4 linked regions of the Drosophila melanogaster genome follow. The protein of the gene in region 1 interacts with the protein of each later gene in a pairwise test. Each region holds a gene or a part of one and is shown on either strand. Other genes may lie near its edges. The genes, in order: Tspo, CG9628, CG4686 and Vti1b.

Evidence for each region.
Region 2: the proteins of Tspo (region 1) and CG9628 interact in a two-hybrid assay, tested with the Drosophila melanogaster proteins (one large-scale study listed by BioGRID).
Region 3: the proteins of Tspo (region 1) and CG4686 interact in a two-hybrid assay, tested with the Drosophila melanogaster proteins (one large-scale study listed by BioGRID).
Region 4: the proteins of Tspo (region 1) and Vti1b interact in a two-hybrid assay, tested with the Drosophila melanogaster proteins (one large-scale study listed by BioGRID).

What each region holds. Positions count from the first base shown.
Region 1 is NT_033779.5:557,962-561,069, forward strand, and holds Tspo (translocator protein), read left to right. Parts: upstream 1-1,650; 5' UTR 1,651-1,737; coding exon 1,738-2,076; exon of another isoform or gene 2,077-2,135; coding exon 2,136-2,354; 3' UTR 2,355-2,562; downstream 2,563-3,108. Other genes in the region: rempA (reduced mechanoreceptor potential A), read right to left, coding at 1-580, 655-801; uncNacbeta (putative nascent polypeptide-associated complex beta subunit), read right to left, coding at 2,833-3,108.
Region 2 is NT_037436.4:14,620,926-14,628,674, forward strand, and holds CG9628 (uncharacterized protein), read left to right. Parts: upstream 1-1,870; 5' UTR 1,871-1,982; exon of another isoform or gene 1,983-2,108; intron 2,109-5,915; 5' UTR 5,916-5,947; coding exon 5,948-5,969; intron 5,970-6,094; coding exon 6,095-6,201; intron 6,202-6,409; coding exon 6,410-6,570; intron 6,571-6,630; coding exon 6,631-6,868; 3' UTR 6,869-7,249; downstream 7,250-7,749. Other genes in the region: shd (shade), read left to right, coding at 1-127, 256-471, 548-658; RecQ5 helicase, read right to left, coding at 7,376-7,479, 7,538-7,749.
Region 3 is NT_033777.3:19,862,590-19,867,394, forward strand, and holds CG4686 (uncharacterized protein), read left to right. Parts: upstream 1-1,906; 5' UTR 1,907-2,243; coding exon 2,244-2,336; intron 2,337-2,399; coding exon 2,400-2,708; intron 2,709-2,827; exon of another isoform or gene 2,828-3,824; coding exon 3,825-3,968; 3' UTR 3,969-4,280; downstream 4,281-4,805. Other genes in the region: CG4572 (uncharacterized protein), read right to left, coding at 133-1,581.
Region 4 is NT_033777.3:18,398,153-18,400,874, forward strand, and holds Vti1b (vesicle transport through interaction with t-SNAREs 1b), read left to right. Parts: upstream 1-1,556; 5' UTR 1,557-1,639; coding exon 1,640-1,798; intron 1,799-1,858; coding exon 1,859-2,068; 3' UTR 2,069-2,187; downstream 2,188-2,722. Other genes in the region: Wdr37 (WD repeat domain 37), read right to left, coding at 2,675-2,722.

The sequences.
Region 1 (3,108 bases):
TCTGGACAATGGGAGGCAGTGATCCGCACTTCATCACCTCGACACAGGCGCCTCCTTGGTTGATGTAGTACACCACTCCTCCTTGGGTGCAAGCGTAGAAGCAGTGGTTGTCCCGCACCCCCGAATGGGTCATGCTCCGGGCTGCTGTGCGCGGTCTCCAATTGGTTAGGGTGTCCAGGGCGTTCTCATCGCCTGCCACAGCAGCCTTGGCTAGATTGGCCATCTCCTCGCGCACCTCACTCTCCACCGTAAGGCGGAAGCAGATCAGCAGCAACACCTCCCGCAGGTCGTGGGAGAACATGGTTAGGAACTGGTACTGGCCATCGCAGCGCCATCCGGTGACCAAGCCCATGGCATCCGCCGTGACCATCCGCCCGCCCTGCTCGCTGAACTGCAGCAGGACGATGGCCGCCTTGTGCGGTGCGTTCACGCTGGCAAACTCCCTGTGACCAGCGAACCACACATGGATGTCGCCGTGCTCCCAACCGCTGGCCAGGAGCGCCTTCTCCGGATGCCAGCATAGTGCCGTCGCTTGCGAAGTGGCGTGCACCGGATAAGTTACATCTCGCTGGGGCTCACCCTGCAATTTGATTATATAGATTATATACATTCCGATTTTTGGCAGGGTCTGCGACCAAAGCGATTAATACTGACGGTATCTGCAAAGATGGTCACTGAACCGCCTCTTTCGGGACTAAAAGAGGCCACTGCGAAGAGCGGCTCACTGGGATGCCAGCTGCTGATGGTGCTCACTGCATCCGAGTCCAAGAACTCGATTTTCGTGTCAAAGTAGAGAGTCATCACACCGGTTTTCCACCTTTAGTGGATGAATTTGTTTTGGCAGGAGCCAAAACACAGTAACAATGTGTTTGCCTAGCAACGGTTGTCATGGTTGCTCCTAAGCAATTGATTAATTGAGATACCAACTTGATCCAGGTTATTGGATATTGCAAAGAGCAAATAAGCACAATAGTTTTATTTCACCATTAATTCACTTTACCGACAAATAACTCTTTGGTTTATGAGTTCTCAAGTTATCATTCACCACTTGATCGCACGATTTGTCATGGGGTAAAACAAACAAACAAGCTAAACAAAACTTTTCCAGGGAATTTAATATGGTACTTCCCAACAATACAGTTCTATTTCTATTTTCAAAACTTAACGGGTTTTGTTAAATCTGCCTACCCACAGGGTGATTCCGACACCCAGCAGCGAAGATAATTTTAAATAAATACGAATGGGTAGATATAATTATAATAATTACTTCCATAGATCGACGACATTACTCATTCATTACATCATTTTGGAATCTATTGATAAGCATTATGCTCCTCCCCTGCACATGTGACAACCAGCTATTAACGGCTTAGCAATGACTTTGCAGCTTTGCCAAAATTCCAGATAAATATTAAATCCCTATTAATCAGATAGCATGTTAAAGAAAAACATGAGAATTCCTTCATGGCAGAAATCAAATGTTCACAGCTCTAAATAACCATGCGATTCTATTAATTAATTCTAGCGTCTTTGATTTCAAGTTGCATTCCACATACTTTAGCTAGTTTAAATCTAGCCAAATTGGCATCGCTGGAGCTTACCCACACAATCATCCGTCGCGTATTCGCCCCGTTAACTCGCAATACTCGTGCATTCGAATGAAATCACCGGCAAACAAAACAGTGAAACCAGAAGGTTCGCCACTACTGCGCCTCATTTGCAGTGCGAACTCTGAAAATGGCTGATCGTCCGTGTGCTGGAAACATTCTCCGCATCGCCGGGGCCGTGATTCTGCCCAATCTGGGCGGCATCTATAACGGGCGGCTGACCAGGCAGCATCTCCAGAGCTGGTACGCCAACCTTAAGTTCCCGTCCTTCAAGCCGCCCAACTCGGTCTTTGCGCCGATGTGGATCTCCTTGTACGCGGGAATGGGCTACGGCTCCTACCTGGTGTGGCGTGATGGCGGAGGCTTCGCCGGCGAGGCGGCCAAACTGCCCCTGATCGCGTACGGCACCCAGCTGGCCTTGAACTGGGCGTGGACGCCCATTTTCTTCGGGCAGCACAACATCAAGGGCGTGAGTACTGCTGATATCACCAAGCCCAGGTGTTATGTCTAATCCGCTTCATCCACCAGGGCCTTATTGACATAGTTGCACTCACGGCCGCCGCGTCCGCCTGCGGCGTTCTGTTCTACCGAGTGAACAAGACCGCTGGATTGCTCTTCGTACCCTACGTCGCCTGGCTGGGATTCGCGACGGCTCTGAACTACGCCATCTGGAAGCTGAACCCGGAGAAGGAGCAGGCGCCCAAGGACGAGGAGAAGCCCTCTAGCAGCCACGCTAAGTCGAGTTAAGCCCAGGATAAACGAAAAACAAGTAATTTTGGGTGTCTTTCATGCAAATTGCAGGGCTTTCCGACCTATCGAACCAGGGCTGGGCAAAGTTGGATAAAATATCGATAAGCAGTGCCTCCAATGGGGCGCTAAATTCAAAGTATCATATGCTGCTGCACGTTCAAAAATTCCCTATGTGTTATGTGTTAATAATAAATTAAAGAATCGTAATTTTCAATGCTATTCTCGAGAACGATTAATAGGCTACAATTTGTTGTGACATTGCAATGGAATAACCAAAGATATTGAGAAAGAATTTCTCGATTCACTTCAGTCTTTGTTAAATCATAATTTTATTCAAAAATGTAAAGGCCACAAATAATCAAAAAACGGTTAGTACCCGGGTTCATCAGAGATTAACGAAGGCGAAAATGGGCTCTGAAAATGCGAGTGAGTTTGAAATGCAAGGGCGCCGATTAGAAAATAGACTGAAGGAGGATCAGTTGGGACCCCCAGAGGCGGAAGCAGGATTGGTAGGAGTTCCGGCCTTCGGGGAGGTGGCTTTTGGGGATGCAGCCGATTTCGGGGAGGCTGTGGCCTTCGAGGCGTTCGCCGCCGACTTCTGCTGCCCCCCAGTTGGTCCAGTTTGCTTTGGAGGAGACGCTTTGTTAGCTGCTTTTCCCTGCTGTTGTTGTGGATTCGTCTGGTTGGGGGATGCTTTTGGAGAAGCAGCAGCGGGTTTTGGAGTGGCCTGGGCCGGCTTTGGAGCAACTGC
Region 2 (7,749 bases), on another chromosome or scaffold:
ACTAACGAATGCCACATACACAAAGGCCTGTATACAGGAGTCCTACAGACTGAGGCCCACAGCCTTTTGCCTGGCCAGAATCCTGGAGGAGGACATGGAGCTCTCGGGCTACTCGCTTAATGCAGGGGTAAGTTAAAGCTTAGTTTTCGATCACTCTCACTTTTATTTCCAAGCTTTTGGAATTTACTATTTTATATTTTATTTTTGGAAATAAATATTAGTTTCTCCTATCAATAATTTGTTTCCGATCTTTAGACTGTGGTGCTATGTCAGAATATGATAGCCTGCCACAAGGATAGCAACTTCCAAGGGGCCAAGCAGTTTACCCCAGAGCGTTGGATTGATCCTGCCACGGAGAATTTCACGGTGAACGTGGATAATGCCAGTATTGTGGTGCCCTTCGGCGTGGGTCGAAGATCGTGTCCAGGAAAGCGTTTTGTGGAAATGGAGGTGGTGCTGCTGCTAGCTAAGGTGAGTATAATCCATAAGCCCCAGGGATCGTATTTCTAGGATCACTGACTAAAACAACCAAATTTATCTTTATCAGATGGTCCTAGCCTTTGATGTGAGCTTTGTGAAGCCACTGGAAACGGAGTTCGAGTTCCTGCTGGCACCCAAAACTCCACTCAGTCTAAGACTCAGCGATCGGGTTTTCTGATAATGGGTGCTTTAGAAAACTGATCCGAAAAACAGTGCCTACCCTCAGGCGTTTTGTATCAAATACAACTAAAATAGCTAAGAACTGAACCATTAAGTAAAATTAATGTAAAATATGCTTAGGTTTCTACACATATCTGTATACATATATATGTATATCCTTTATCCCTGATGAGCCAGCATCAGCAGCCTAGTCCTGTGAAGCAATCAAAAAAGAGCTAAACCAATTAAAATAAATTAACAAATTTATGCTGACTGGATGTAAAGTAGATTAGAATGTATATACAAACGTCATGTTTTGTTGTAATTACTTCTTAAATTTATTTTTAGTCGTAGCAAATAACTAGCAGCAATTGTTTTTGAGAGTTCTGTAAACGGAAAGACTGTGTTTAAGTTTTGTTTTTCACGATTTTAACAGTTTTACATATTTTCTGTACATAGTTTCGCAAAAATTTGTCACTCTAATTATGTACAGTTTAACTTTAATTGTATTTATTCAAGTGTTTTTACTGCCTTTGTCTTTATTTCATCTCTACATCTGTGAATATATTTGTTAAAAGAAAACAATAATTAAAGAAAATTAATTACATTAAACAGAAATCAAATGATAAATGTTATAATATAAATTATTGAGTTTCATTTAATAGTTATTTTCTGAGACCCATTATAGCACAGGAGGTTAGCTTTCTCGCCTTTTTATTTTAAAAATGCATTTTTCATCATACAATGGTGAGACTTATTTAGACCTATGTTTTATTGTAGTTATTTTTGTTTTCTTTGGCAAATACTAAACACACACTAAATGACCCTAAATATCTTTATTTTTTTTTTTAAATTTGTATGGTACCGATTTTAGGTTTCGGTTGACGTCTTTACTATTATAGCAGGGAAATTTCATAAAAGCTTTCAACAGTCGCTTCCCACTAAGCTGGGCTTTGTTTTTAAAATGTTTTTTTTTAAACCAACGACACAATTTTACTTCAAAATTTAATAGAGCATTTAAGTTTCAAACAAAACTCGAGATTAAATTGTTTGCATACATGGCGTGCATGTGCTAATTTTTAAGCCGCCATAATATGACTTAATATTTGTTCAGCAAGCGTTGACACACGTCTTGGGAATAATTCTCATTGGGAAATATTCTCTTATTTTTGGGCTGTGGCTCAATAGCTCGTTTGGCGGGCTTTGGATTCGGTTTTGGGTTCAGGTTACAACAGTTGTCGTTGGCGTGTCGTCGGTTTCAGAGGTTTTTTGAAAGACGGTTTTTAAAAAACCAATTTCCGCTCTGAGTCGCAGTTTAAACTGAACTACTGAAACTATTTAACGCGCGTGAAAGAATTCATTGATTTATCTGTGTATTTAGTGTGAGATATAACTTAACAGCTAACCCAAATCATTTGGCTGCACTTGTGTACCGCACCTATCTGCAACTCAACGAAAATTTGAAAAATGTAATATAATAACCCAAAAATGAAATTCTGAGTAAAAACTAAAACTAGTTTGTCGTTTGCTCGGCAGTTACTAATGTTTAAACAAGTTGAAAATGCACTAAACAAGAAAACGTAAAATTTGTTCAGCTTCCGTTGAAGTTTTGATTCTCCCCCAAAGATCTTCTCATACGAATGGAGTCTGTGAGATCGGAGGGCCCCACCCAGAGCTAATTGTACAGTAAACAAGCACAGATACAACAATAACTACATCAGCAAGACGATCGCAGTAGTTTGTTGTTATTGTTAGACATGCTAATTTTGCACAATCTACACACAACACTACACTGGCTAACACAAATTAGTTTGTTTAATGTGACTCACTGACAATTTTCTCACCATCAATGCGGCCCCTTCCCTTTGATGCAGCTTTAATTAGGTGACAAATACTGGGGTTTATAAAGCGAAAAAACAGATATCTTACGTTGGCGTAAAAAAACAATTAGGTAGTGCTCAACTAAAGTATACGAATTCTTGGAGCACTTACGAGCAGTTATTAAGTTAATGAGCTTTTTAATTTCTTTACCGTTCTTGAAAACACATTAAATATTTGAACGCTGTTAGTTCAAAATCTGTCAATATGTAAACAATATGGCAAAAACTCTGAACCCAGTTGTTGTTTATATTAGCACTCAATTACACGTTCCCTTTTGCTAACTGAACCCTTTCGATTCAATACCAATATCATTTATGGGCACTGACCTTCAATGACAGGCCCGACACGAAACAATAACAGTGACAGTAACGCCAGTACACTCATGGTAAATCCCGACGAGCCTTGGCCAATTGCTTTGGCATTGAATTTACCAACAACCCCTAAGGGAGTCGCCTAGAAAACTCCCCCAAGCACCAACCACCCTCGTAAGCCCACATCGCAAAATGTTGCATGTTTTAGCCCCAAACCAAATGTTTCCCCATACCAAACGTGGTGTGGGTCTCAATGGGGTCAAAGGCAAGTGCAGTAGCAATAGATATTGTAGGAATATCTAAATAATTTGCAAAAATGCCGCCATGAACATTGCTTTTCAAGTTGTAAGGCTTCAAAATTCCCATTCATAAGATTTATGGCTTGCCATTACTTTTTGTTTACAACAGTATTAAGTAAAGTGATAACAAAAATATTGTCAACAAAACGTAAGGATATTACTCTCTAAAACCATAAAATAAAATAAATACAAAATTTTACATTATAGATTTTTTTTAAACGCTTTCTGATTGATTGAGGACACATCTTAGTTTAATTAAAAAAAAAATAATTGGTTATATGTAAAAGTTAAACGCGAAAATGATTCCTCTTGGTACAATATATACATACCCTCTATGGGTATTGACCGTGTTTGGAAAATGCAGCTGGAAAATCGCGAACTGCCCTTCGCGGGCAGTAAAAACTATGGCGATGACCAAGTACAGTAGGCGCCTTTTGCATATATGTATTTGTGTTTCAGGTGGTTCTGCCCTCTCACTCCCCCATCGTCCGTCCCTGTCGCTCTCGCCTGCAACCAGTTTGCAGTTGTGCATATCAATGCAAGTGATGGGTGAGGGTTAAGACACGCGCGGGGGGCAAAAAAGGGGGCGGTAAGCAAACAAGTTTTGTTGCATTTTTCAATTGCCCAAGACTGCGATTGAAAGCTGAGAAATACAGATAGTACAGATGATGTAGCTCTTTGGATCTCTGGTTGTCCGGAAATGAGAGATATAAACCCAAGTTAAGATGGGAATGGCTTAAACAAATTCTTTGGATAGAATCGAAGAACCAAAACAAAAACGGAGAATCGAGTCATTGACCCAAAACTCAGACCAGTTATAGGGCTGCTTAGTGTGAAACAGTCCCTTTTGAGCCTGAAAGCGAAACGAGGTTAATTCACAGTGCTGGCCACTAAATTATGCCTACCTTTCGAGAGAAAATATCCCCTTTAAAATACGCAGGTGTGGCAGGTAGTCGAACTCTTAGATCCTCTCTTTAAGCCAAATGCTCTTTTTTCTAAAACAAGTTTTCTTAGCCAATACGTTTTGTTTACCTTTTTTTCAGCTTCGTGGCTTGTTGCGTGTGTTTTGTTTGGTTTCTGCTTTTTGGGCTTTCTTCTAAGCGCCGCCAAAGAAAACTTGTTTATTTTTTTTGGTTCAAAGGGGTGCTGCGGGGGGTGTTCGAGTGTGGGCCAAAACGTGAAGCACTCGTTAGCAACAACACGCAAGCAGTTATTCACTGAAATTCCCATCTTGGAGAGCCACATACTCGAAAATTAGTGGGGAGATTTAACGGGTAGAGAATTGGCTTAAAAGAAATCTATTATATATGTTTATATATACAATTCTGTTTTACAATAAAGTGAACAACTAAAGTTTAAAACTTTTTGATATAAACCTAAACTTTTATATATTTGGTTTGATGTGGAGAGTTACTGTTAGTATATGAAATTATCACTTTGGATTCAAATAGATTAATACAAAAAGCTAACTACATTCCACTGCTTTCAATAGTGGTAGTTTTCTTTACCCATTTGCTGTTTACCTTTGCAACCAGAACCTAGACACTAAAATGTTTATTAGCTCCGAGCCCTCGTTTTGTAAATAGGGAGTGTCTTGGGCCCATTTTTATCATTTTCCCTCCATTTTTCTCTACAGCTCTTTCCCATCTCACTCCCTTTCACATTTTCCCCCTCCCCGAACGCAGTGAAAGTTGTGCGTGGCCCTTTTTTAGGGTTTGTGTTGAGTTTCCAGTTTCATTTCGAGTTTGACTTATTTTTTCTGGTTCCCCGCCCCCCCCTCACATTTTAATTGTTGTTTATGGGGTTACGCATCGTGGGGTTAACTAGCACAGTTCCCTACTCTTTGTCCGCCCCTTCACTTTTGCTGAACGTGCCTTTGGCTAATATTGGGATTTTATGCTTTGTTCTTTATGTGATGCAATTAGCTTCAATCAATGGGGGGACCATTGTTGCCCATGAAGTGGAGATCCAATTCCCCACTTTATACACGGCAAAAACGAGTTACCGGTTATGATAACCCAGAAAATCATTTAAGCTGAATTCCAAGTAAATTTCAATAGTATGCAAATATTTGATATTAAAGAATCCAATAATAGAGAACTTCTAAATTATGAGTGGCATTCGTTTAAACTTTTTTTTGGAAAAATTCTCTCTTGATATACAGAAATTGGTTACTTTCCGGTTCGATACACTTATTTTTTAGTGTAGAATCAGAATAAAGAACTATATATCAAAACAGGTGTTGAATTGTGTCCAAAAGAGGTGACAATTGAGCGACAGTAGCTTCATTGTCGGTATGCAATTAATGATTGAAAATAATGGAATTATAGATGACGGTTCACAAGACAGCGATTATAGTTGGATTTATTATTCATACGACTTTTTGATGCAAACTCACGTAGGCTGCTCGCATTCCCAGGTTGAATTTGGTATGCATCTCGGCACCTCGCTGTCGAATATAGCCCCATATGTTCATAGATACATAGATATATACCCCACCCAAAAGTCCCACACACCCAATATATGAGATCATCGCAGAATGTGCCCTTAATCAATTCGGTCTGCAACTGGATGTATTTCATGTGGGAGAGGAAGACCTTCGGCCATCAATTGACACAAATCCACAACAGAACGTAGATTGTTCGGTTTTACTCGTTTGCACGCTCCACTGACCATCCAATAACAAATATCCGATAACCCAGACATGGAGGCCAAAAATGGCCACTAAACCCGACTTTAACTGAACACTAAAAAGCCAAAATTGAAGATTCCGTTTCCTCTGTAGGTCGAAAACGTATCCAAATCAGACTCTGCAAAATGAGCTACTTGCGATCGATAGGTACATATACAATAAGTTTTATTGTCATTCTTTCCTCGCTCCGAGCAAATGTCAAAGTGGCCAAAATACCAATTGATATAGTATAGTGTTCTTTAATTAATTAATTGTTTAATTGCTCGGTGCAGAAATCTCACGCGTCGAAATGTCGCCGGCTGACGATAATTCCTTTGCCACAACTCATGGAAACAAAAAGGCCACCTACACGGTGATATGCATCAAGATTGTGGAACTGGTGAGTTTTTGTTAAATTTAAATACTCCTTTAAATGGAAATCTTTTGAATAACTTTTAAAAATCAGATAAGAAACTAGTTTCATGGTGTCCAATTACATTTTATAAAGATTCAGCATTTTGAGACGGCTTCCCAGTAATGCCTAAATTGTTAAAAAAAATGATTAAAAACACAAATAATTTATGAAAACTATTCGTCGTTTCCCATAGTGCCTGCTTATATGCTGTTTGGGTCTGATCGACGAGCCGGCCACCAATTCTCATCTGCGGGTGTTCATCACTCCCCGAGTGGCTTCCCTTTGCTATGTGACCTTTGGAGCACTGACCATCTACACGGCAATCTATCTGATAATGGCGCTCTTCGGTGATTTGTATGCTTAAAGTTTGATTTAATTAAAATGCTAGTACTGATATATTTAATGTACACATAGGACTCCATGGCGTACGGCTACTTTGTGGAATCTAGTGGCCTTTGTGCTCTTCGTGGCCGTAACCGCCCTGCTTTTCCGGGATTGGTCCACCACCAAGGATCGCAACTACTGGCACCCGAATATGCATCGTTTGGATCTCGTGATGGCTTCCGCCTCGATTGCCTTGGTTACCTCGCTGGTCTTCTTGCTGGACATACTCATCACCCTGCGTTTAGGTGTCCACGGTGATCTAGAATGACATGGTCGATCCCGTGAAGTTTGGCGAGAAAGAGATATACATTCGATTCTCGCCTAGCGTGGACTGTAATATTTATAGCTCCAGCTTAGAAGTAAGAGCCCCGTTCACATACCCGTCTCCCAGCTAATTGTAATCCCACAAGAAAACAAATTGCCATCATCGAATCGAAAATGTACAAAATCGACGTCCGAGGAGGTTTAAAGTTCTTAATCGGCTGCCCTGTTTTGTTTTTTTTATAAGCTTAATACATCGAGCATCACGAATGTTATATCTAATTCAATTAATAAATAAGATTCAACGCAAATAAATTTTGTACGAGCGAATAATATCCCAAATTAATAGTTTTTCTATTAAAACTGTCCAAATAAAAACGTCTTATTTAAATGTATTATTGATAATTAATGCGCTTATTATATACAAAAATAGTAACTAACGAAAAAAAAAGATGATGCAACTTTTAACGAGGCGAAACAATATGTCGTGATAAAATCATTAGGAGATTTTTAGTCACTTGGATTTTATGAAATATTTTTCAATGTCCTGATCGTTGTTTATCATCTGCAGGCCATGAAAAGTTTCCTTTATATAGCACTTTCCAGCATCGCCATCTCCTAGAGATTTATGGTCCATTTTAAAGGTATTAACAGACAGGAAGTATGAATATCTTACCTAAGCTTCCATCACAAATGCGCTGAGTGAGCAATTTTGCCAAAGCTTTGAAAAGCTCTTTGGTGGCTATTTTTCGTTTATAATACGGATTGAGCCACTGCACCACATTTTTGCTGACATCTGTTTTTTGATGGTTTCTGGTTTCTGGTTTTGTATCCTTTTGCAAAACTCTGGAGTCGGATCCTTCCTTCTTCAAGTTCGATAACGATTCC
Region 3 (4,805 bases), on another chromosome or scaffold:
ATTAACAACCCAATGCTCTCATCAACATATTTATGCATTCAAAACTCACACCAAATTATTCATGATTAATTTTAAAAACAAAGGCTTAAATTTGGTCTCCAAATTGTACTGAATAGTTTAAGTACGCATTTCCTAGTGCTTGTAATGAGTAAGGTGATCAATCATCATGTACAGCCACTTGGGCTGATCGTGAGGAGCCATGTGCCCGGCATTGCGGACCATGATCTCCACAAGATGTCCGGCGTGCTTGACATAGCCGGCCACTTCCTTCCCAACGCGCCACACTTCGCGGGGAGCCACCTTGTACTTGTCCGAGCCGGGGAACTTTAGTTGGTTGAGATAATTGCGCGTCAGTGGATAGGCAACAATAATGTCTAGCTGCCCGCTGTAGATGCACACAGTATAGTGGGCCAGCAGTTCGGCTATCCACGGGGCCACCGAGTCCATGATATCCTTCTTCAAGTGAAGTTCCACCTTGTTCTCCTTGTCCAGATCATGGAATGTCTTATTGCCCACATGAATTGCCCGCCGAGTGGCGCCCGCCTGCAGAAATTCGCCCAAGTTGGCGCCATCATCATCATGCGTCTTCAAGTAGTTGTAGTACCAGTTGTATCCAGTAAGGTTGCTGAACAGTGAGCCATTGGTAAGGTCCCCGTTGATTAGGGAATCAAATACGTCGAAGGCGCACTCCATGTCGTGACTCTTAATGCATTCAGCACCCTTTGCCTCGGCATCGTGGAAACTCTGCAGTCCGTGCTCGTCGATCAGGCCCAGCTGGTAGAGATAGTCACCGTACTTCAGCTGATGCAGCGGATCCGAGAGACCATTTCCGATGGCCACGCCCTTGAGCGGCACATAGACGCGGGTCTCTATGGCATTTTGTACCTTGTGGATGTGGTAAGCCAGGGCGGGAACGTATTTTCCGGCATAGGACTCGCCGGTGACCCAGAAACCAGAGGAGTTGCTCCACTCGAAGAGTTCGTACAGCTGCATCACAGCCTCGTGCAGATTGCGGCCCACATCCTTCTCGTTCGTAGCATAGCCGGCATCGTTCTCTGTAAAACTAAAGCCAGTGCCCACGGGATTGTCAATGTAGATGAGATTGTGTGTCTTGCTCCAGGTATAGTTGCGTTTCTGAAGCTTCCCATGACCATCCAACTCTAGTGGTCCATTCTCTGTGAACAAACCGAAGAGCGAGGAGGCACCTGGTCCACCCTGAAGCCACAGGACCACTGGCGCATATTCCGGCTCCTGCTCGGCGGGGAAGTACCAGAAGAACATGTTGGATTTGAAGCCAGGGTCCACGGTCAAATAGCCGGAGTAGCTCTCAACGCCATGGAACTGGGAGCCTACGACGCGGGCCAGCTTTTGAACCTCTTGCTTGCTCATCGAAGCATTGTTGATCAGGGGCGTCAGGAACAGGGGCTCCCCGGGATCGACACCATCGTCAAAGAACTGGTAGCGTGGATACGGATTGATGAAGCTCCGCCTGTAGGGGCGTTCCCCCTCTACTCCTTTTGCTCCGCTTATTGCGACTATAGTCGCGATAATTAAAAATGCGCAATGAGTTGCAGTTTTCATTGTTCAACTGCGCTGATTCGACTGAAAAGCGATCGAATTGTCAGTGGTTGCTTTGCTTATTCAGCTTATGTATATGTATTCTTATATTCTTATTATCGCCCCGACCTGCTCACGAATCGGCCGATAAGGGGTTTAAATCAGTTCTCTCACTTGCCTTGCTTTTATTCGCACAGCCGGCGAAAAAATTTAGCTTTCCCAATTGAGCAGCACTGATATTTCAGTGTATCCGCACCGGTCAAACGGTAGGGTTGTCAAGTGAAGCGAATTTATCAGCTGTGATTTTTTACTAAGAGCGACTTCTGAGTTATGGATTGCAAGTAGTTCTTTTGTCGGAATTATTAAAAATAATCATCAACTAACTCTATATTGGTTTAGTTTTTCGCAAATAAATGAAAGCTTGAATTTGAAAGGTTTAACCAGGGATATAAAAGTCTCCAAAGTACCTATATATGTTCTGTTTTGTTGCTTATATCACCATTTCTTCTCACTTCAAATGGTAAGAAATTCTCGTTCCCGAGGCATTCATATTTCTAGAATCCAAACAATTGGCAACATCGAATACAACGGCAGTCCGGCAAGGCCAGGGCATTTTGCGTCAAAATTTGTAGTAGCGCCGCAGCTGATTTTCCATCGCCAAACAAAGTTTGAGCAAACAATACACAATGTCAGTCGCTGACACCATTGAATACGTGACCCTGGGCAATCCTGTCAGCAAGATGGTAGCCTCGTCCGCATCCGCCCTGCTCCGCACGCTTGTAACTAATCGACTTTTCCTAGACAATGTTCCGGATTTATAATTCTTAACTGTCTTCCTGCAGGGTCTGCGTCCCAAGAAGGTGCCGGTGCAGGAGACGAGTATGGCGGTGCTCCCTGCCGCCCACAGCTACGCGCATTCACACGGATCACTCTATCGACTGGCCGGCTGCCATTACCACTTCATTCGGCTGGCCGGGATCGTCGGCGCGTCGGCCATCTTTATGGGCGCCTACTGCAAGTACGTCCTGAAGGACGTCAGCGATCCCAAGGAGCAGGTGGACTCGCAGGCCTTTGCTGATGTGGCCAATCGCATCCACTTTCTGCACTCCTTTGCCATGATGGCCATGCCTCTGGCCCACTATCCCGTATTCGTAAGTTTAAATGGAAAAAGTCAAAATTTGTATTTCGTTGAAGATGTGCCTGGTTAAGTCCTACCTCCGCCAGGCCCATCCTCTGTACTGACCCCAAGGAAACCATTTATCATAATTGATCTCGGTCGTGTATTTGGTTTATTTGTAAAGCTTTCTTTGTTGGTTTGTCATTTACATAAACTCTGTGTAAAGTTAGATCTCTGAACGGAATTTATAACAACTCGCGTTACTCTCGAATCGAAACTCCAACATTGATACTCGAATAATTGACTCTCTGCTTAGCTAGTCTAATGCGCTGATTGACATTACAAAATTGAGCTATGAATGAATATTGATTTGAGCCAAGCGCTTTCTCCAAGTTACTTCTTTATAATATAGGTATGCATATGTATATTTATGTTGTATATGAAATGTTTCCAAAGCTAAAGCTAAATGTTCAACAACCACTAATTGCAGCTTACAAAGTAATTTTCAATACCACACACGATACTTGTATAATAATTGCGTTAATTCGGATAACTCTTAGGTTTGTGATATGAGCAGGTTCATAGCTGATATGGGTTCGGGGTTTTGGGTAGGAATTTGTTGATTTACTCTCTTCATAATTACAATCGTATGTTAAAAATGTACCAAAAAGGCATAGATTTTCTCGTTTTTGCTGTTATCTTGTAATTGGTATTTGTTGTCATCAGCCTTATTTAATAAGTAAAATCTGGGCTTTATCGAGCTCCGTTTTGTCGACGTTTTAAAGCTAACAACTAAAGCTAACACCAAATATGCACTCAAAACGCTGGCCATCTTCGCAAACTTCTACTCCTAGACTATAAACTATAGGGCCTGTTCCGTTTTAGAGTTTTCTGATTAAGAAATGTAAATGCATTTAGATAACAATGTGACTTAAATTTTGGGTAAACTATTTGCAATTTGGAATTTCTTACATATGTATATCTTGATTCCTGACTAAACATTTAAATGCTATAAATTCTTTGCATCCTAAAATCGTTTAATTACAATAGTCGTGCTTAGCTTTTCATATAGATTTCGAGAACAGTGGGGCTTGGAACAGGCCCAAATGACTGTGGTTACTTAAAGTAATTGGTTTATTTCCTCCCGCAGACTGGCACTTTGATGATTACGGGCATGATGCTTTTCAGCGGCTGCATGTACTACCGCGCTTTGACTGGCGAGAAGCGTCTGCAACCGTACGCGACCGTCGGAGGATTCTGCCTGATGGCCGCGTGGCTGTCGCTGGTCCTGTAGGATGCGCGGGGCAGGCCACCTATCTATATTCCATGTAGCACATGCTGAACTGCAATTTAGTGCAGAGGCAAATAAAGCTAAGCCAACTCTAACATACAACATCATCTAACATAATACAACATCAACTAAATATGAGTTACTATATCCGCTTTTAGCCATTATTTACAATAATTATAGTGAGGGCTTTGCAGCTAATGGAAGATACTTTTGAGTTAAATGCGTACAATCTCTTAGTGTATATAGCAGGCTAATGTAAGTCGCTAAATCGTTATAATGAAATAAAACAAATAAAAACGTTTTAACAAAAGAACCAACCGAGCTGTTACATTTATTGTATACCTGTACATTAATAAATTACTATAAAAACACTCATATATTTATACTAGGCGTAACATTTCATAGAATTCTCTTTTAGTTTTTTCTTTTTTTGGGGCTTTTCATTGGGTTTTTTTTTTCTTTAAGGTTGTTATTGTCGTTTTACTGGAACACATAATACAAATGCAATGCGACCTTTTGAAGGCCAATGCACAAAGTTCAGCTAAAATTAATTATTGCACAATTTGCAGTTTATATCAATCTTTCTTTTTTTTAAGGTACAAAAACATTTAGTCCCTACGCTCCTCTAACATCAGCTTATTGTCTTGCTGTTTGATTTCTCATCAGTTTCCTAGTTTTATACACCTGACTAACTATTATTTTGATTTGTACACGTCTTGTAAAAAGTTTCTCAGCGGCAGCTCAGTGGGGATGTCTGCTGGCGCCGCTGATGGCTTGCTATCCTAACAACTTCTGCTTGGAGGCCTCCGCAAAGAGGAAGGTCTTCTGAATGCCCGCATT
Region 4 (2,722 bases), on another chromosome or scaffold:
CGACCAGGAGCACTTGTGTGCAACTCGGCAAAATACTATACTTCAGATGTGAAATTGCTAGATTTCTAGAATCGATCAGATTTTCCCCATTCATAAACTGGGTCTGCGACTGTGGCTAATCAGCGCAATACTGATTGATCGATTGGAAGTGCCATTGGACAATTTATAGAGCGATCCATAAATCATAATCGACTGGTATTTATTGTGCGCTATTCGCAACTACTCGAGCCCAGCTTTTAGGGTTTCCGTTCCAGCTGGAGATCTTTGTGGGGACGCAAGGCTTCTGGAAACCGAGACCCCGAGAAAAAGATCACATGATAGAACCCCCCCATATGATTATGATGATTGCATAAAACTCGAAAACTCGCGACTTTGCAAAGAGAGCGCGACTCACAGATACTCTGGAGAGTATTATATTCACATGACAAGGGTTCGACTAACACACACACACACTGCGAACGTAGTAGGTGCGTACCTGAGTATCTCAGAGATACTCGGGGCTTACGAAAGAGATAGCGCTACGCGTATCTGCCGCTCTGACTTTAGCTGCGACTTCTGGCAGGTGTTTGCACAATGGGTCCCATGACAGGTGTGCCCCGCAGCCCCCAGTAAGCTCACTTTTCCGACCAGTAGCTGTCAGCAGCCAGCATCACGTGCCAAAGTGCATTCAAATTGGGCTTAATTGCACATACTCCCTGCTGCCAAAGCACGTGCTTTGGATGGCTAGTTTACAGGGGATATGGGATATATACGGGTGGATAACCCGTGGCACAGCTTTTACACCTCGAACCCGCCGGGTTTTTCCAGTTGCTTCGAGTTTTTTCGAGTTTTTCGCTTACCTTCACAGCTCCGAAAACGCTTTTTATGTCAAAGACACACCAGATTCGATTCCCCGCGAGTGCGAGCGATAAATTTAGAACTTGTTTGTTGCCGAGCGAGAGTATCTTTATTCGAATCTGAATCTGAATGGAGCGCAGCACACGTCTGCTCACCGCCAGCGATCGACTGCGTTTAAATTTGGCACTCGCTGCCGCGACTTCGGTTCGAAAATCTCGCGATCGCCTCGAAATGCCTCGCACTCTCTGTTACTCAGCACACACACCCTGTGAATTCAGGCGGCTCTCTCGGCGCGGGCATGCCAACTATGTATGATCGGTGACCGTTATCGCAAATCAGAAATCGACAAATACCCGTACTAAAGTCAAAATCCTCGAGTGCTACATGTGTCTACCAAAAAAATGGTCAGTTTCCAAAAACCTAATCACTCTTAGGATCACCCAATTAATCACCATTAATATGTGATATTTTTGCAGTAACTAGATGTGCTTGTTGATAGTGAGGAAGCCAATCTCAAAAAAAAACCAATTGAACTAACACTTCTTACAATTTAAACTTTTAATTAGAATTTAGAATATAAAATAATATTAAGCTAATTTGGTAACAGTTTCATTTTAAATTTCAACTGTTTTAAGTGCTGTAAAGTGCATAAAGTGTTAACAGGTGGCTCCACGCACAACGCGTTAGTACCTTACCAAATAGCGTTTTCACTGCACCGCTCACCACGGCCACACTCTGCCTTTGTTTTGTTTTGATATTCCCACTGCATCGCATTTAATTTATTAAAAGCTGTTACCAAATTATGTCCTACGCCGGCTATAGCCAGCTGCCCAGCGGCAGCGACCAGGAGCGCAGGCAGGCGCAGCTCGCGGCCAGCACCTACGACGTGCTACAGCGGACGACGGACAGTATCCAGCGATCCAACCAGATTGCCATCGAAACGGAGAACATGGGGGCGGAGGTAATTACCCAGATAGTAGCCATTAACAGGGCTAACTAATGCTCGCTTACGCATCAACAGGTACTCGGCGAACTGGGCGAGCAGAGGGAGTCGCTGCTACGCACCACGCGCCGCCTGGAGGACGCCGATCAGGATCTGTCCAAATCGAGGGTCATCATTCGGAAGTTGAGCAGGGAGGTGCTCTACAACAAGATCATCCTAATCCTGATTATCATTCTGGAGGTGGGCATACTCGTCGGCTTGCTGGTGCTGAAGTTCGCTCACCTGTGAGCCAATGCCATTCTATTCCAAAGTCGTAACCACCAAACAGGCGATGGACTATATATACCTATTAATCGTTACGAATTCTTTGTCCTAGTTAATAAGCTTATAAATGTATATACTCCACTAAAATGCACTTCCAATTCAAAAAGGTCAGTTTTAGGATATACCCAGCGATGAATCGGGTGGTTGATTATGTTTATTCATGTTGGCTAAAGCGTTAATGCCTTAGACGTCTATAATATGTATTATGGTAGTAAAACACAGATAAAATCGGGTCTGGACATCGGAAGCTCTGCACTCCGAAGAGTTTAGCCCAGTCCCAACGCATATACATACGTATGCTATAACAATGATAATATGTAGTTCGTGCAGCACGCTATGCCACGACTATTTGGCAAAAAGCAACGTTAATTACATTCAGTGGGCGACAACGAGATAGTAGAACATCCTGAACAATGTCTGCATAATACTTGATCTATGATAAACGGTTACATATATGTAAGTATGTGGGCATCGCTTTGGGGATGCTTCTTTGTTCGAGAGATGTTTGGGATTTCGCAGAGCTGCGCCTCCTCATTCCTTTGGTGCAGCAGCTCTCCGCTTCAGTTGCCTTCAATTGTCCTTCGGAAGAACGATGGACCAGCCGAAAACGCGGCGATC